Linked DNA regions of Lepisosteus oculatus. The protein of the gene in region 1 purifies or fractionates together with the protein of each later gene. This does not show direct contact. Links are inferred from orthologs where the notes say so. Each region holds a gene or a part of one and is shown on either strand. Other genes may lie near its edges. The genes, in order: gapdh and siah1.

What was found.
Region 2: the proteins of gapdh (region 1) and siah1 purify together in Homo sapiens (affinity purification with western blotting; 4 studies listed by BioGRID). This does not show direct contact. The link is inferred for Lepisosteus oculatus from reciprocal best matches to the Homo sapiens genes GAPDH and SIAH1.

Annotation. Positions count from the first base shown.
Region 1 is NC_090718.1:3,650,279-3,660,527, reverse strand, and holds the start of gapdh (glyceraldehyde-3-phosphate dehydrogenase), read right to left. Parts: upstream 3,975-10,249; 5' UTR 3,874-3,974; intron 3,112-3,873; 5' UTR 3,089-3,111; coding exon 3,066-3,088; intron 1-3,065. Other genes in the region: nppcl (C-type natriuretic peptide-like), read right to left, coding at 9,440-9,736. UniProt on the Homo sapiens protein: Has both glyceraldehyde-3-phosphate dehydrogenase and nitrosylase activities, thereby playing a role in glycolysis and nuclear functions, respectively.
Region 2 is NC_090715.1:1,592,928-1,602,493, reverse strand, and holds the start of siah1 (E3 ubiquitin-protein ligase Siah1), read left to right. Parts: upstream 1-5,301; 5' UTR 5,302-9,566. UniProt on the Homo sapiens protein: E3 ubiquitin-protein ligase that mediates ubiquitination and subsequent proteasomal degradation of target proteins.

The DNA.
Region 1 (10,249 bases):
AATGTGCTTCCAGGTCTAAAAGCTCAATGGTGTGCAATAGAGAGGAAGCCTGTGATAAATAGCACAGATAAGGGAGTAAATTCACATCAATAGTGCATTTGAAATCTAAACCAGCAAGCAAGTCAGTTGCTGGTGCTAGTTAACATTAAGGACCCAACTGGAACAAAAGCCAACAGATCGAGATACTCCAGGACCTGAGAGCATCTTCAGCCCTTTGATGGCCAACTGCTCAGTGTCAAGTTGAAAATACTGTTCCAACCTGCACCAGAAGGGGGCAGCATCCAGTCACTCTCTCAACTACCGAGAGCTTCTTAGATAAAGGCCTTGAGTTCGCCATTAGCCACTGCACTTCGGTATTAGGACTGAAGTTCATATCTATACATATTAACCCATCCCAGCATTGCACAACTCCAGACTTGCACAAATATTTGATCAGCAAAACCCAAAGGAGAAAACAGGTTGATGTTTAGCCAGTGTTGTCGTTACCAGTAATTAAACGCAGCCGAGAATAAGGAGATGGAAACGGGTAGGTCCTGTTCATACATGCTGTAGTGGCAGAGAGGGGTTTCTATGACACAGAGGGAGGTGAACCAGCCAACACAGGCTCCACAAGCAGATTGAACAGTCATTCGTATCAGGCCAGAAGGACCACCAACCTCAGTGCAGTAAGGTACCCAGTGCCCATTTTGTGGCATAGTTCATGTTTTTGAAGGAAATTTAAGGGCCAAAGTGCAGTTTTCAAAGGTGAATATTAACAAGACAGTACAGGGTTCTGTCCTCTTCTGCAGAAAGGGGCTGTTCATAGTAGGAAGCAAGCACAGAACATTCACACACTTCCATAAAAGTAATTGATAAACAGGGTTTTATCTGGGTCTAAAGTCAGAAGTGGGTCCATTATCTCCCCACTGCCCCACCCCAGTCCTGACTGGCTGGCTACCTCCAAACTGGAGGGGAGGAGTCATCCCACTGCTCCCTTCTTCAGCTGGAGAGGAAAGCCTGAAAAAAGCCACAGCACACCAGAACTGAAATGGGCAGCCCTTGTAAGTCACCAGGCTTGATTGGAGAAGGTCCTTTAAAATTATAAACCCTATTGTGTCCTTTCATGCAGCTGAATTCCCATTTTAACACTAGCTTCCAGAAGTGCATCTCGGGTTCAAGTGGTGGGCATCATCAGGACAAGCCAGCACCTGCTGTACAGAGGTCTAACACATCCTGTAGTGGGAAACCCACTTAGGAACTGCAGGCTTGGGTTGTATAGCGCCTCCACAACCAGCAAAGCTGACTGAACCACTCCAGGTCACAGAGTGGGAGCCTGACCTATAACTAAAATGCCATTACTGAACGGATCTCATTTGTGGACCACATTCCACCCAGGAAAAGGCTAGAGGTCGGAGTTAAAGATCACTGGATGACCCCCAGCCTTCAAGAAAGGTTATTCGCCTAAAATAGGCAGAGAAGAATGCGACAGCTGTGCCTCGACTAGTGTCACTTAACAGAACTAAACTAAAAATAGAGCAGACCAAGAGGCCAACTGTACAGGTTACAGAGCACAGACTGAAGAGTACAGTAGACGAACAGGGCAAGGAGGTGTAGGGCAAACCTCCAGACTACCAGCCTTAATGTTTGACTGGGGCACTCAATCTAAACTTACAGTCCCCCCACCCCAGTATTCAAAAGTGGCATGGAGATCAGGGACTGAAGTTTCACTATAACCCCTGATCTTTACATGTGGTTTTAGTTTTTGAATCCAAGCAAGATAGCAGCTCGCCGTCTCTCTGGACTAAGGGGAGCAGAGAGCAAGCCAGACAGTGCAGTAGCACTTGCGACTCAGCAGGACAGCTGGTAGTTTGGGTGTAACAATATTGTGGCAATATGGGTCTTTGGATCCACCCCCAGCAAATCAAGCAACTGAAGCAGAAACTCAAACACCGATGGCTTTGTAGGAGCGTAGTTTAGTCAGCTAATCTAAAGTCATGCCAGGGAGGAACACTGGCATCATTAACCACCTAGTTGACACTCCAAGCTTGCTGGGCTTGGTCCGACTTCCAGATCGTTCTTCTCCCCACCCAGTTGGGCCAGTGGCAACACTGCAAAAGCCAGCTAGGGGCCGAGGAAATCAAGCCAAGCAACCTGCCAGAATAAAACCGCAGAACAAGGGGGGAGCACTGCACCCAATGGGTTATGGGGAAGATGGAACAAGAAACTCAGCCATGTTGAAAGCCGGTCTCCAGCTGTCTTGTGCAAAGCCAGGTTAAGACCCTCGAGTCTTGAGATAACCGCTTTTAGCTTCACAGGCTAAAAGCTCTCTGATCAGGCCTCCCCCCGGTGGGTTAGGGCACCAGACTCAAAAGCACTGGCCTCAGACTCAAAGTCCCAGGTGGAAATGCATCAGCTGGACACCCGATTGGGAGTTGCTGGTGAACCCAAGGTTGCAAATGAGCACCTACAATAAGAGTCAGATTAAGCCCCTGCTGTTGTGTACTCATGTCCAGAGCGGTACAAATAGCACAGCCTCTTCCAGATCAGTACATAACAGACTGAGGTGTAGCCATTTCAGTCAATGTAAGGCACAAGGACCTCAAAGAGAGCCATGTGAAACCAGGATCTGGAGGGATAGTTACTACCCACACTATATAGTGGAGCAATCAAGTTTCCCCTTAATCCAAGCAGGTCATGTAGGCCCACAGGTTCCACTGGGGCAGAAGAGACATTATCTGCTCCTCTCCTGACCTTTTGAGCTCCGTTGAACAACACTCCCAAATTTGGAGGCACTGCTTAAAGGCCAAGGTGGAGAGCCACTTCAAGTCAAGAGCTCTCCTCCTCATGAAGCCTAAAGCATTCAAAGCTAAATGCACATCTTGAAAGAATGAAAGCCAGTTACCTCCAAAACTGGTTAGATGCTTAAATGAAACCAGGTTAACCGAATTACAAGAATGAGATGGCAGGCCCTTTCAGGACGTTAGACTTTGAAATTAGGCTCTCATGTGCACCAGATCCAACACACAAAGTTGGATCACTTACACCTTCCACACAGTGGATCAGTGACCTGATGAAGGTTTACTCACCCGTTGATTCCAATTTTCACCATGGTTAACAGGTTAAAGTCCTCGTCTAGAAGGAGGAAACAAAAAAAAAAAACATTAAGAAAAAATGCACCCCGAATGACACGGAACAAGCTCAGGCGCAGTAGCGTCTAAAACGTCATAAGCCAACCGCCAAAAATAAAAAAACGAAACTAGTTCCAAAAGTTTTCCCGTTTCTCCTTTAAGTACAAGGTTGTACCGAAGCCAGAACCGTCCCTAGGCACTTCAACAGATACCGCCCACCCACACTAAGCATCCTGTAGAAATGAGAACTGGCGAACATTAAACTCGCACCTATGTCGGAGGGGAGCCGTATTCCGTAGAACATCGGCGCACTCACAACGCAGCGAGCTTACGATTCACACACGGCGCCATGCTAGACTTGAGACTGCAGCCGTGCTCGCTCGCTAAACGGTAAGCGACAATGAAGCAAGCAGGTCGCCATCTCTCCACCCCCCCCACACACACACACTACAAGTATTCCTTTACGCGAAACGGAGGTGTTGCAAGACGGAGGAGCAGAGAACCCCAATCAAGCGAAGAACAGCGGTACTGTGCAGTAGGAGCGCGTCATTAGAAGACGATACAGCCTTGCAGCCTCCGAAAACAAGACCTTTCCGCACAGAACTGGGCACTTCACAGCAAAACGACTGCTAGGTGCACAGACGACAGATGCAAATAGTCTATCCGATAGCTCCAAATACAAAGGCGCAAAAAAGTGGTATATTGAGCCCTATTACATCCCTAGACACTCAACACAAAGTCCAGCTTCAGGAAACCACATACTTACCGTTTGTGAGTTACAGCTCCTCTGCCCTTCCGGAAACTCTGACTTTCAGTGGAGTGAAGAGCCAGTGGCCGGGCTGGTGCACTTTATACCGGTAAGCTGGCGACGGTCACGCCCCCCCCCTCCCCGCCCTGCCTCCTGCCGGCGCTCCGCGGGCGGAACCTCAAGGTCACCCGAGTCCGCGGCCGCCATGACGGCTCCTGCAGAACACACGCGAGCAGCGTGCGGGGATAGTGCGTCACGGCGCTGCATGGGAAGTGTCCCGATGCTTTTTTTTTTGTATGTTTCCCTTGCTCTTATTGCTTGTGACCTCATGCATTTATTCTTGATCTAATGCGATGGCCCCGTGCACTATATCACAATACAGAATTGAAGTGAGAGATTATAATAATAATAAACTTTATTTTATATAGCGCCTTTAAAGGTGGCTTCTCAAAGCGCAAAGATTATTTCAAAAGTACTGTTAACAAACGCGATACTGCATACTGCAACGCGTTGTTTTTTTGTGGGGTGGGGTGGTTTGGAGATGAGCTAATAATATGCACTTCAGAGTTCTCCTTCGTGGAATGAAGGAGTTTGAAAGACCCGTGTATGGCACCTATATTAGAAAGACGTGGGTGATGCTGGCGCGCTGGGTGTGGCGAGGGGGACGCGTTCCTATTGGCTGGCGCAGGCCGGAGGCGTCGCCTCGTCTTCAGTACAAAGGTCTCCTTGATGCAGGAGACAGGAGGCTCCGAATTCATCATGAGCAGCCTGTCATATTACCGCGGTCAGGGGTGGTTAGGCCACAGCGCAGGTGTGACATTTGATCTCTGGGGTGCTGTGTAAGCATTGACCCTTCCCAAATGTGTAAAGGTGCCTTTGAGAAAGATAATAGAGGCTGTTGCTACAGCTACTAGAATAAAAGCAGAAGAAGAATAGGGTGGTTTCGTAACCAATAAATTATTCATGGAACAAGTAATAGGTTTATTCCATGATGAAAAGAGAACGTTGTGTTTCTTTTCTTCTCTTTTCAGCAGGGCATGACTCCATTGTTCCTCTGCAGCCTATTCATGCTGACGCAGCTCCCCACCTGAACTACTTCAATAAATTATGAAATACTTAAAATAGTAATGGTTAATAGACAGGAGAGCAGCAGACGCGCATGACTTTAACGTATACAAGAGAGCGAATCGCAAGAAGTGTTTTGCCAGTGTAAACGGCAGCCGATGAGCGGGTTTGTAATTAAGTTTCTAGCCTCACGACCTATCCCGGAGACGGCCTCCCCGCCCCCTGCCCCTCCCCCTTTGTCTTATTGGTGGCCTCCGCTGCCACTCCGACTCTCCGACGTCACTCGTTGGCTGCGAGGAGGCTCTGTGGCTGCGTTGCCACGGCGACCGAGCACACGCTGGATCGGCCGCACTGGGGCTACGTGGGGATCCGCGCGTCTGCCGTTCCTACCCCGGCCGTCGGGTTACGACTGCATGCGAGTGAAAGAGACGGGCCATGGTCTAAAACTCAGAGGCAGAGGCGCACTCGCAAAGACATTCAGGCCACACACGCCGCCGCCAGGACAGGCGGACAGGGGCGTGAGCGCCGGGAGTCTGGTTGGCGAGATCGGTTGCCTGCATCTGACCTTCTCCAGAGACGGAGAGACTGGGGGGATCGATTTCCGTCTGGGAGCTAGGAAAAGGTCAGCTCAGCGCTCGCTGGAAGGACCCTGACCTTTCCGTGCCCCCACTCTCTGTACCTCGCTCTTTCACCGTGGTGCTAATGCCCAGGCAGTCAGTCGCAGTGTCTGAAATTGCCTTTAAGTCACCATGGATATGCTTGCACTACACTGTACTGTATTTCCCCGAGTAAGGTACAAACTGTACTGTATTATATATAGTGCCAGATTGATACTGCAATTTATCAATGTAGCTGTCTATGGTGTGCTGTTCTGCCCTATAATGTACTATACTACATTATAGGGCAGAACAGATATACTACATTATATACCAGATTTACATTGTACCGTATTTACAGAGCCTGGTCTTCACTGTACTGTATCTACAGAGACTGATCTACACTGTACTGTATCTACAGAGCAGATCTACACTGTACTGTATCTACAGAGGAGGTCTACACTGTACTGTATCTACAGAGTCTAATCTACACTGTACTGTATCTACAGAGCAGGTCCACACTGTACTGTATCTACAGAGTCTAATCTACACTGTACTGTATCTACAGAGCCTGATCTACACTGTACTGTATCTACAGAGCAGGTCTACACTGTACTGTATCTACAGAGCAGATCTACACTGTACTGTATCTACAGAGTCTAATCTACACTGTACTGTATCTACAGAGCAGGTCCACACTGTACTGTATCTACAGAGTCTAATCTACACTGTACTGTATCTACAGAGCCTGATCTACACTGTACTGTATCTACAGAGCAGGTCTACACTGTACTGTATCTACAGAGCAGATCTACACTGTACTGTATCTACACAGTCTAATCTATACTGTACTGTATCTACAGAGCAGGTCCACACTGTACTGTATCTACAGAGTCTAATCTACACTGTACTGTATCTGCAGTGCCTGATCTGCAGTGCCTAAAGAGAAGAAAGGAAACCACGTTTCGGCTGTGGAACCTTCTTGGGGGTGTCGTTAATGACTGGCCGGGTGAGCCAAGATACCCTCCCCCCCCCCCCAGCCGGGCAGCAGGGAAAATAGGTAGTTTGGCACCGGGTCCGACCAGCCAGGCGCTCCGCCAGCACTCAGCACGACGAGCCTACCGGCGACTGGGTCCAGTGCCAAGCTCCCGAGGAAAGGAGGCAAAAAAGGGGACAAATAAAAAATTGGGAGAGCCGCTCGGGTCCGAAACCCCGCTCAGCCCCGGTAGACACCGGACCGCAGGGGGATCTGACCTCAGTGGCCGGGCAGGGAACTGCTGTGGGCGGCCTGGACGGAGGGAATCGGAAATCCTGGCGCCGGCTAGACCGGGCCGACAGAGACATATTTGGCCCTCGCTTGAAAACCCGACCCCCGGCTTCCCCTCTCCATCCACTCCCAGAGTCCTCCTTCGGTGAATGCCACACGCTGCGGTATGAAAAGGGGGTTGCTTGCATCCCGGTCAGAACCTGTTCATTACTGACCGAGCCATCTAAAAGACATCTCGCTCGACCCACAGCTGGTTTCCAGCTGGTCAGCGCTTCTGCGGAGGACGGGACGACCGTCGTTTCGGAGCCGGGACAGGTGAAAGGCATGGACAACAGCAAGTGGTCGGACTTGGAGGGGCTCTTGCGCTGTGCAAATCCAGCCCCAGCAAGCACTTACCCTGATCGATAAAGGACAATCACCCTTTTTTTATGAACGTCGGTATCACTATAGAATCTTGACTTGTTAAGAGTGTGTACTTAGTGTAAGAGGTTTATTGTGAATTCAAGTTTACCTCGATCCACTGTAGGAACTAAACTTACAAGAAACAGCCCCGCCTTGTTCCCCCTTTTAAAGAAAGTGCGTCCCCTGTCTCCGAGCTGAACTGCCAACAGGTGAAACGTTTCTCATGGGGAAGCGGCGCCTTTTTGTTAATACGCGTCGCAATGCTGACACCCAGTGGCTTCGCGAGAAACTGCAACGTCGCATCTTCGGATCTGATCAAGGAGCTGTCCCACGACGGAGCTCCGACAGTAATAATGCAGCCCAGACTCCGAAAACCCACACAAATCTTTTATTTTGACAGCATCTCCGGACACGGTGTTGGTTTGTTGACGATGAACAAGCGGCACACGACGAGGGCAGGACCCGACGGAGATGGGACCTGGGGCCCGGGTCTCTCCAGCCTCTCTCCTCGGGGGGGTGTCGAACTCCTCCAGCCGGCCGGGATCAAGGAATCACCGCGGGTGGTGGAGAGTTTCCCTTCACATCAGGCTCATGGCTTGGTGAATTTCTCCTCCAGTAAATACACCCTCCCCCCATCCAGCAAAAGCTACTCTCGGTTACATAAGCAGCGTGTAGTTTTATTACAGACAGGTAAAGGAAACAATACTACAGTGACAGTAGGATGCCATGCCATAGCGAGGCACTGTGGGCCAAAACTGAAACTAGTCTTTCATGAAACATGTCAACAAATGCACGGTGCTGCAGTCCACACTATTCTGCACAGCGGTGCTGGGGGGCTCTTGTTCAACGGTAGCCAGGCCATTCTCGTAGCTCTCTGCTTTGGCACAGAATGATTGCTGAAAAGCTTCCGTGGAGGAGTGAAGTACTCTACTCTACGTCGCCTGGTACCGGCATTCGCGTGTAACAAACAGGGAAAGCATCGTCCCCTCAGAGAGCCGCTTTGAGTAATGTCGTCTATCAAATAAATAATTACAGCACTGTATTTTGCCTGCTTCATATTTCCACATAGCCATCAGCAAACTGTGAGCACGTTCTGCTGCTGTGCAGTGGACAGCCTCCTACATAGATCCGGCGGTATATAGTGCCAGGGCGAAATTATAGCTTCTGAGCAAACACTACAGTAGCCTACTACAGTCTTTTACTCCGTGTCAGAAAGGAGAAAAGACAGAGCGCAGCCGAAGTCACTAGTCTGAAAAGCCAGGTACACACATCGCTCACAAGTTCGAGACAAGCTGCCTTGTTTTCATTTTAAAGGAAAAAGTAAAATGGGTGATACATATTCAGGGAAGAGACGGAGCATTTTGAAAAACACGCAGAACGACAGGGTGGAGTTCTAGAACGGCGCTGGGGGTGGGGGTTGGCAGAAGGTTCTAGAACGCCGGGGAACACCTGCAGGGACGAGAGAGACCGAGAGAGACGAGTCAGGGCGAAGACTCAGGCGTCGTCACACATGACGTTTCTACCCAGCCAGAGATCACTGGCTCGTGTCGCCGACAAGAACAAAAAGGCAATACACCTGGATCACAACACCAAGCACAAAGTGGAGCAGGCACACACCCTGCAGCCTTAAAATTAATTGAGATTTGACCTAGCTCGGACTCCCGCTCAGGAGATAGATTTGTACTGTGAGGCACCGAATTGTCGAAGACTAGAGAAATTTCTCCCTTCACCCCCTTGTTGAATAATTTCCAGTTTCTCCCATCAGAACGCAGATACAGACTCATCAACTCTCCAGACCAATAGAATTACGTTCTCATGCATACCAGTAGTCATACTGTTACTTAACACTTGACTTTCATGCAAATATGCATGTATGTTGTGTATATTGTTGTTTTAGTCGTGTTCTTTTGTTTCTCTGTCCGTCTGTACAACAGCACTGCTGCAGTGAAGCAAATTGCCCCCTCAGGGATATTAAAGGCTCTCTCTTACTCTTTAAAGGGGAGTTTTAATACCTGATAGCTCAGTTTTAAACTTATACTGCTAGGTTTACATTATAATTAGCAACACGGTGCCGTTTGTTGCTAATTAACATCATGAGCTTGTATAGAGTTTATTTTTGCAACATTCATATTATATTAGTTCTACACGCTTCATCTTCAAGGTTGAGAGTGGGGAAAAAAAACTACATGCAAATTGTCAAGTTGGTTGTAGTTGCCTGGCCTGTCCTCAGAAAGACACTCACCTCAGCCAATAGTTAGCAGCCGAGCCCGCTGAGGGAGCCAATCCGGTCGAGTTTGAGGCCAAAGCAGCCTCGGGCCCACCCCTTCTTGGCCCGGTCGGAGAAAGCTCTCTTTCGATTGGCCAGCGTGTCCCTCAACAGGCGGTACCACGGGTGCTCACTTGTTGGGGGCAGGTCAGTCCATCCCGGGTACTCGGCGGCCTTCGAAGTGGTGTCCGCCGGTCGTAACCTCTCCCCGGGGTCGCCGGCGAGGCTCTCCAGTTCGTCTGCGGTCAGGAGATCCCTGTACTGTTCCAAAAACTCCCGCAGAAGCTGATGGGAAGGAACACGTGTTAAGGTCGTGAAAAACTATCGCCAGCTTTTTAACCGCTTCTTCCAGTGCAGGGTCGCGGGGGAGCTGGGATTTATCCCAACATAGAACTGGGCGCAAGGCAGGGTACACCCTGGACGGGACGCCAGTCCATCACAGGACACACACACACACACTCACACCAGGGCCAATTAATCTACCGGCATTGTCTTTGGACTGTGAGACGAAAACCACATAAACACAGGGGGTACATCCAAACCCCACAAAGACAGCCCCCCACGTCTGGCATTGAGCCCAGGGAACGCACGCCTCCGCGCCACTGTGCTGTTACGACTATTCTTCATAATGACACCTCTATAATAGGTGACGTATAGAATAATATCACAGTGAGAAAACAATGCAGAAAACATATGAACAATGTGAGTTATTCCGCCGTGAAGTATGTGTACAGTACGGAAACTGGGAGAAACCCGATCTATTCTTTGATCGATAATTTTCTAAAAGCCGCATGAGGT
Region 2 (9,566 bases), on another chromosome or scaffold:
TAGGGGCACTCACTTGGCACAAGCTTCAAGTCCCAACTCCTCCGGACTCCTCTCTTCTCCCTGCTCTCCTTGTTTCTCCTCCTGCTTCTCTTCTCCTGTGCTCTTAATGTGAAACTGTGTCTTTCTGCTTTGCTCCTTTGCAATCATTAATGCTCAACTTGCCTAGACATACTAAGATGAATTTTACTATTATTTACTATTCTTGTTTCTGCTCAAGGGACTCCCCAGACCTCAGCAAACATCCTCTCTGCTTTGAAGATAGAAGTATTTACTCTTCCCAGTGTCACAAACTTTATCATGTCTCAGCCACCAAAGTTGTAACAAAACTATTGTCCCCAATAATTGGTTTCATCAAGTGACCTTATAGAGTAGAGAAGTTATTAAAGGGGTGAAGGAAAGGTAACATATTTCTGCTTTTATCTGAATTATATTTCAGTAGGTTTCTGAATTTAAATTCCCCAGTTTAAGAGAAAACGAGTGTTCTTTACTGAGAGAGCTTAGTGTTTTTTCCAACTTGATTTCCCTTATTTATAGGCTTATCAAGAGGATGCCCAATTACCAACGTTAGCAACATTAGGACAATCACTCTGTGTCTGATGTCGTTTTATGGCTAGTGGTCTTTTGCAAAACAAAAATACAAAACTTTGCATACAGGTTCCCCAGTGGACCCAACAAATCTGTACTGAACAGTGGAAGTCACCTTATTTATGTGATTCACGCGGATTTCAGCTTCTGCTTCTGAGATCTGATTAATCCCACAAGTGTCGCTTACCAATTTCTGGTGCCTTGCAAACCCTGTTCAGTGACAGAATAAACTGTTTGCTATAGACCACAGCTCTTTCAACTCAATAAACACAGAGGTGTCCATTACTCATTATAACAAAAACACACACAAAAAACTACATTCTGTTCCTTTTCTTTCCTCTAAAGAGTCTTTGTTTGAAGTGACTCTAAGACAATGGCAGAGATTTGGTCCCAGGTAAAACTGTAAAGGAGAACAATCAAAGTTATCTTTTACCTAGACAATGCTGGGAATAGTAGGGTACACATGGTCTCCACTGCTTGGAAGGCACTGCTGCTGTAAACCTGAGTCCCTGTTTGGCACTTTGACCACCACCACCAGTGTGCAGCCCCACCAGAATGGCCCAGCCCTAGCCATAGTGCACCAGAATGCTCACCACACACCAGCTAATGTATGTATGTAATGAATGTAGCCAGTTCATAGAGGGGGATTATTAGGAGGCCATGATTGGTAAGGGCCAATGGGAAATTTGGCCAGGACGCTGGGGTAACACCCCTACTCTTTTCGAGAAACGCCCCGGGATTTTTAATGACCAGAGAGAGTCAGGACCTCGGTTTTATTTCTCATCCGAAGGACGGCGCCTGTTTACAGTATAGTGTCACCGTCACTATACTGGGGCATTAGGACCCACATGGACCGCAGGGTGAGGTCCCCTGCTGGCCCCACTGACACCTCTTCCAGCAGCAGCCTTAGTTTTTCCCAGGAGGTCTCCCATCCAGGTACTGACCAGGCTCACACCTGCTGAGCTTCAGTGGGCTGCCAGTTGTGAGTTGCAGGGTGATATAGCTGCTGGCATATGAAAGGTGCATTTGAATAGCAGCACTAAACCAACAGATCTAAGGTTTAAATGTGACAAAACACAAACATTGTAAATAGAACCATAACAAGTTTTTAAACTAAACCAGTAATAAAATCAAGAAAATGTTTTGTGTAAATGTCCTTCACTAAGCGCCGTAACAATGAGGCCTAAACGATGGCAAAGGCCGAAAAGCATGAAAAGCAAGTGTCACCGAAAACATTGAACCACAAAAATAGCTCAGGCAGTTCTCACATGTTAAACTGAAACAAAACAACAACAAAACTGTCTTGCATCACACTTCAAGCAGAACAAAACAAAAAAACATGTTAGGACAAAAATGTTAAAAAACACAAGGAAAGTACCAGATATCAACATGTTGTGAACGGCATTATATAACTCAAAATCCATTATCCAGTCCAGTTTCTATCTTCCTGGGTATCCAGCCTGTCCCTGGTTGGTCCTTTTCAACCAGGCTCCCTGAACAGTACCCTCATGTGAGGCCCAACACAAGAGCAGGCCCGGTTCTCTTCAGCAGCACCGGGGTACCGGGCATGACGCTGCTCTGGCCCAAATCAATGCCCGCTGGCTGGTGTCGGGACTGCAGTGTGAGCTCCCCGTTGGGTTCAAATCGGTGCTGTTGAACCGTGCTGAAAATGTGTGTGGGAGAAATGGTAGTGAGACGGACGCTGTCTGGAGACAAGATGAATTCCAGGTCCTGCCTGTGTTCCTGCTGCTGTGAGACGGGCTCTGGGATGAAGTCCGGGCTCCCCGCTAGCTGGCAGAGCTCGTCTGAGGACGCAGAGTGACCCTGCCTGCTGTCTGTGTCTCTGATGCAGACAGGAGTAGGAGGCGAGACAGCCAGGTGCTTGGTACTGCAGACAGAAGTGTGTCCTTGCAGAGGCATATTATCGTTGCACTGCAAGGAAAAAGTGTCCCTGCCGCACACAGTCTCTAAGATGGCCTCAGAGCAGTTACCCTCCTCTTGCAGTGTCTCACAACTCACCCGGTCTTCGTCTGTAGCCAGGCTGTCGAAAGGGCTCTGGTTTGGGAATGACACAGGCTGCCTGCAGCCCAATTCACTGGTCACTCCTGTCAGCACAGGGACCCCAGAGCTGCTGTCCTCTGTCGGCTGGGGCTCTTCAGTCTCGGCGTGTTGTGGAAGCCAGGTGGGGGTGCAGAAAGGCTCACTAACATGTCATCGCAGGGAGATGAAATCGCTGTCTGCTGTGGGCCAGAGGACATGGGGTGGCAGCAGAGTGACTGCTGGAGGGTTTTATTTCCTGACTTCCTGGCTGTTTTAACATAACATCACTTTATTAGCCCTATACAGTTTCTTGCATGAGGAATTTGTCTTTTCACAGACCCCAGCTTGCTCTCCATGAGACACACAGACAGGGAAAGAAGCTTGGGGTCAGAGCGCAGGGTCATTTATACAGCGCCCCTGGAGCAGTTGGGGTGAAGGGCCTTGCTCGGGGGCCCAACGGAGTAGGATTCCTCTGCCGGCTGCAGGATTTGAACTGGTAACCTTCCAGCCACAGGCGCAGATCCTGAGCCACAGAGCCACCACTCCGCTCCTGTTGGGCTCTTGTAAGACTGATGGAAGACAAGGTGTGTGGAGACACCTTCATGAGCCTTATGTTGACTGTTGAAGACAAACTGCTGGAGTGGTGGAGGTGTGGTGATGTGCAGAGGAGTCTCCTTTAACACCAGGACACCTTCGGTTCAGACTGACCACAAACCTACTGCTGAGGAAGAAAGAGCTTGAGGAAACAGCTCTTCCATTCCTGCAAGCCTGGCTGGAAGTGAACATTTTCCAGAACGGATGATGCAAGACCACCCAGGCAGGATTACAACAGGACAACCTCAGGAAAACACTGTCAGGGTCTCTCTGTGGCAACAGAGCAGCTGTGGGACCAAATTACTACAGACTTCAACAGGAGACGTCACGACAGGCCGCCCCTGACCAGCTGGCAGCAGCTGCCCTGGAAGAGTGTAGCCGGACAGCCTACGGTCCAGAGGCTGATCAGGACTGTGAGTCAGTGCTCCAGGGCTGAGTTAGTCTTCAGGGAGGTCAGACAAGACACTAACGTTGGTTTTGACGTTACAAAACAACTGTTACACTGTTTATGTCCCGAAAATCCATTGTGATTTCCTGAGCTGTATTTTTGTTCCTACTGGCTCTGGTTACTTTTCATATCCATGTCCAAATATTTGCTTCATTAAATCAACTAATTGATCCATTGAGCTGAACTTAGTGTTTGTTTTATTAGAAGCCACACACCTACAACAGAAGTACACATGCAGTCTAAACATACAGTATGATTTCCTTGTAGTTAAGACATTTTGAAAATGATAGTCGGCTAGGATTTGAGTATCACTTAATGCTTAACGCCTCCACGCCAAAATTGCCGCCGCTTTAAAACGCCCCTGGTTTGTATTGGGTTTTGTTTCCTTTGCTGTTCCTTAGAGACTTCAACTCGGCCCTGATCCGATTCCCTCTGTTTAGAGCGCCGTTTACTCGGCAATAAGATACAGGGATGTTTGTTTTACACCTGTCACCGCGTCGCACACCTGAGCACGTGACGTCCGTGCCAAGATGGACGGAAGCGCCGCCCCCCGCTTTCTGAAGCTGGTGCGCGCTCCCGGCTGCGCGCCCCCGCCGCCCGCCGCAGTTCCCGTGGAAAAGTATTTCAACAACAGTCGGTGCGCGGCTCCGAGACCGGCGGCTGAGTCTGTCTCTGTGTGTGTGTGTGGAGACACACAGCGTGGATGTGGGGATCCAGAAACACTGGACACAACGAAAGGGTAAAAAAAAAACATTACGAGCGGAAAGCCTGCTGGGATAATTAAGGAAAGCGACAAAAAAAAAGTAAAGTAAAAAAAGACATTTCGTCAGAGGTAAGCGGTTGACCCCCTCCCGGACCGGGTCCGGACGGGGTTTCGGTTGGGATTACGGGTCGGCGCGGCTCCGCTTTGTTGTGGGAAGAGCACGTTACAGTGGCCGCGACCATGTCGCTGAGCTCGTCCTGGCCCGGGAAAGGTAAAAGCGAGCACGAAGGTAGAGGTCTGCTTTTTTTTTTCTTCCTCCCCAAGGCTCTTCTCTGTGTCGGGGGGGGTCGGCTGGGGGGGTATTTAACAGCGGGGGTGCGTGTGCGTGTGCAGGGGCCGGCCCGCTGTCTCCGGGAGAGCCCCCGGGCCGGGCCGGGTTAGCCGTGAGGGCGCCTCGGCGCAGCCCCGGCCGGCCGGCGAGGAGGCAGCCGGGCACGGGCTTGCCCTTCACGGCGGCGGGGCTCTGCGGCCTACTCGGCGTCGGCGTGCGGGCCGGGAAGGGAAGGGGGGGCCGCTGCTCAGTCCTGCGGGCTGGGGTTGCTGGGCCTCTCGGTTTGGGTGCAGGCGTGCGCGGCGGGGAGGCTGAGCTCGGTCCCCGCAGAAGCCGGGTTGTTGTTGTTGTTGTTTTAAACGATTGAGAGAGCGGCTCTACGAGATGTCCAGCTTGGCTGACGAACCCCGGGAAATGGAAACGATCGTTGTGTTTCCCCGAACTGCTGAAGGACCGCAGACAGCAGGAGCGTTAGAAGAGCGACCTCTTCTCTAACCTCATACAGGAGAAATGGCTTTCATCCCCTACATACCCCTGTAGCAGGGGGGCGTGTGTGTATGTCTCACGGTAATCTTTTAAACACTATTGCTATCTGAATACCCCCTCTGCGGTTTGTTTTTAAATCCCCTGCCGCCCGGCTGTCCGAGCCCGGCAGACGGTGCCGTGATGTTTGGGTTTTTGGGTGCATGTCTTTTCGCTGCCAACATGGCGGAGGTCAAGTTGCTACCCCGGCCTGTGCTGCTGGAGCCGAAACCTTGCTTCTTGCCTTGAGGATGTGTGAGGGCATCAGGTGATTGAATGTACTCGTCTGTAAGACGGACGCTGCAGCTCCTGAGCGCCGGACGGGTACGGAACCAGCTGTCCTCCGAGACGATTGCATCTGGACCATTAAGAGATGTTTGATGCTCTGAGCGGATTACGTCTGCTTTGAAGTTCAGATTTACTCCACAAAAGCGGGTTGCGTGGGTTACAGTAGTGACCCAGGAACGCATTAACGAAATGAGATTTGCCCCCCTGTGAGGGAGATCTTCAGTTCCCCTAGTGCCAGTTTTAAAGAAGCATTTGAGATAAAGATGTTGCACGATATTTTGGCAGTTGCGTTGCTGCTGTAGGCAAAACTAGCATTTGTGTTGTAAAAATCCCATATTGCAGTACAGTGTAATATGTAGTTAAATGTCACCATTACATTGCACTTTGCTAAGGTAGGGATTAGTCCATCTGTTTTGCTGATGTATTTGCTGTTGTAAAAGCAGATACATGATATTGTGGCTGTTTGACACACTTTCTTGTGACTGCCCAAATGTTTCTGGGTCACTGTGAAGGGGTGATTGTTAATTGCAAAGGGGGTGCTATTGGGACCCTGCTAGTTGTCCTTGCTGCCACCCTGATTCAGGGTAGAGGGGACTGGACCCACTGTACATGAATAGCTCCCATAGGTGTGGGACATGCCACCTCTCTCCTCATCCTGAAGTAGAGTGGGTGACTCAGGGGCTTTTAGACAGCTGTCATCCCAGCTCTAAATCTTGGGCACGCAGGTGAACCGCCCTCTGTTTCTTAAGAGGATTTATCACCCTCGCATCTGCTTTAAAACTGTCCCTGCTGAGCTTGTCTGTGGTACTTATTTCTGCTCTAGAGCCCCTTCAGCAGAGTGGCAGCTGCAGAATGAGAGTACACATGTGAAGGATTGTTACAGGCCGTAGGTATTGACACCCAGCTTCTGAAATAGGGTTACTGTTAATTTGAGTGTATTGGCTTATCAGTGATAACCTCTTCTAAGTTTTCTAATCAGTCGCTCACCTGACTAAGCATCGGTTGTATTCCGGTGAGTTTGCTGCAGTACAGTTAGGCTCTGCTGCCAGTACTTGAGTCTGTAGCTACTTAAGGTGACTTAAGTGTGTGCCAGTCAGAATTGCAGATTTGCAAATGTATTCTAATGGGCGTTTGTGTTTTACTTTTTAATGGGAGTAAATGCTTCCTTTGGGCATTGTAGAAAAGGCACCAGCCTTTGCTGAGCCATAGTTCTCAGACATGCAAGACGTTATCTGAAAAGTCTGTTTTGTCTTCTTTGGGTAGTTGGGATCTGACAACTGCACTTGTGCATGTAGTCTGATGAGGATATAGGCCCTTGTCTGTTTCCTGTGGCCATGGCAGGTATCCTATATTCCCCTTCAGTTTTGAGACCTCTGTTAAGTTAGATGAGCATCGTTTGCAAGGTGGACCCCTGGTTTCTGCCCCTCACCCACCTCGCGCCTGGACATGCTTCATGCAGGAACTTCAGTGCTGCAGGGTAGGCGATTACTGAACTGTCTGTGTTTGTGTTTTGGGTTTCGTCTTTCGTTTGGTCTTGCCTGTGCAGCTTCTGGGCTGGCCGTTTCGGGATTCAGCTGAGATATCTCGGGGAATTTCCAAGGTCCCCTTTGAGAACAATTCAGAGGATTGGTTTTGAAAATGTTCAGTGTGTTCCGTTAGTGTTGAAGATTTGGGTTACTGAGGCCCTTTGAGAGCTTCCAAAAGATTAGATATGGTTTAGAGGAAATAAAAACATGCCTGTTTCCACTTGTGCTTTATTTTAGTGATAAACACAATAAATACTCTACGGAGAAATATTACGTTGACAGATCCTGTTTTATAACTTGTATTTCTTTTACAATGCATATCGCAGTGTTGTACCAAAGTCAGGGCCCGTGTCCATGGTATTCATGTCCATGAAGGTCGTGTGTCAATTATTTTTGAAGTCTCGCCTCTGTGCTGTCTGGTTATTGTTGTGAGCTGAAACTTGCTGTTCCTCCTGAAAAAGAGTATGGTATATCCAGCCAGCGTCTGCTCCAAAACAGCCCACTGAACCCTGGAAAGATTTGAGCTGGAAAAACATCTATTTGCACTATAACCCCAAATTCCTGCAGCAGAGCTGAAAGACCTAACCGGGCCACCGCTAAATTTATATTTTAGGCTAGCAAGAACTCCAAACAGCCTCCTAACAATGTCATATTTTAAAAATTAATGCTAAGATTTACTGGAGTGCATGGGAATGTGCCTGGAATGTGTTTTATTTTTCGCATAAAAGGAGAGTTTGTGACAAGTGTTCTTTATTAACAGTAATGTGAGGTGTTTGTTTATTACGCAGTTCACTCATAATGAGTTTTCCATATGGAATCTGCTTTGCATCATGTTACATATCCCTTATTTGCTCCATATCCTGGTTCATCATGGGCTTCTGCAAGCATATATGTAAATAGCCTGTTTGCCTTTTTTTATGTAAACATCTTATTTGCATTCCTTTGTTCACAAAAACCTGGCTTCCCTGCGTGCTACTAAGCTTTACATCCCACAGCGCATGCAGCGTAAGCAGAATTCTGTTTATCATGCGTGTTGTAGTGTGGCTACACGTACTGCCCCGAAGTTATAGAGCAAAAAAGTATGTATGCCTGCTCTTAGGCACATCCAGTTTAACACAAATCCACATCAGAGGGGTCACATTCCTGCTGAATGGTCTAAAACTCTGTGGTTTGGAGAGATGCTGGGGGAGCAGTTTTCACCATTACTGCAACCATCTGGACAGCTTGTCACATACGTAGCTTAGGTCTGTTATGATATCAAATTATTCGCACTCATGTTGTGCTTTTCATCCTAAATGGTCCGAAGGTTTTTTTTTTAGGCATCGCAAGAACCTGCCTCATCTACCACTGAAGCACAGTACCCACCTGTGACCTGGGGAAGCTTATTGAGGCTGGCTACTACAATCCAAGAGTGAAATTTAACCTGACCACCACAACTCACAGCTCTGCTCTTATTAAGGGTGCCTTAATAAGCTCTTAAATCTTGATTTTTAAAGGCCAAGTTTTCGGGCTCTTGATTTAATGCTTTGTCCAAAAGAAGGTATTTAGTCCTGTCACACTTGCCATGCTGGTTTAGTATTTCTGGTCCAGAGGAAAGAGCACCATATACTGGTCTGCCAGGTATAGCAGCCACCTCCTCTCTTCTTCTTGGTCCAATACAGACCAAGTTCAGCCATGCCTGGAGATCTTGCTGAGGTCTGACTGCTTGATCTTGTCATGTGGTATAGCTGCTGTTGGAAATGGGACTTTCTTGTTAATTTTCCATTTTCTTTTATCTTCATGGAGCTGAGAGCTTGTGTCCAGGAAACATGAGTGTTGCTAAAGGCAAATGAATAATTTGCAGGATAGGCAATAGTTTGTCTGAAGTACCTGTGTGTCAGCCTTCACTTCTCTCCTGCCTTAATGTTCTCCAACTTGAAATTAAATTGTCAAAAGTTACAGATAGCAGAGTGCTTTCCGGAACTACTAAATGAGGTTAACTAGAGTGTCTCAGACATCCACTGTGAGGCCATTATCTCTAATGTCTTCTGTCTTGCCTAGGTGGTTGGGAGGCTGGAGGGCGATGAGTGGAGGCAGACTAGCCTGCGTGTTGTTTTGAGGAATGCAGATAGTTTTAATCTTCACGCATCGGGCACAATGTAAAGTAGCTGCCAGTGTGGGAGTTGAAGGTGTGAAAACAGAAGGGTTGTTAGCACTCCAGATTAGAGCAAATCAGTGCCAGGGGATCAGGCTGAGCTGCAGCCAGTTACTCCAAAAGGACAAGCGTGCACAAACTCCCAGACCCCAAGAGCTGGCACAGGTGGAAATTCGTTTGTTTTTGTTTTAGTTTAATTTGTGGAACTTTCCCCCTTCCACTTTGATATGAATATAGTTGATTTTTCTGCAAGCTGAAGTCATAAAAGTTTTTTATTTTGTTTCTGCAGTGTATCGTAGATCTTTCTCTTTTAGAGGTCATTGGGATTTTTGATCTATCCTCAGTAAGAAGGGAGTTCTTTTTTAATCCCAAGTATGAAGTTTAGTCCTGTCACC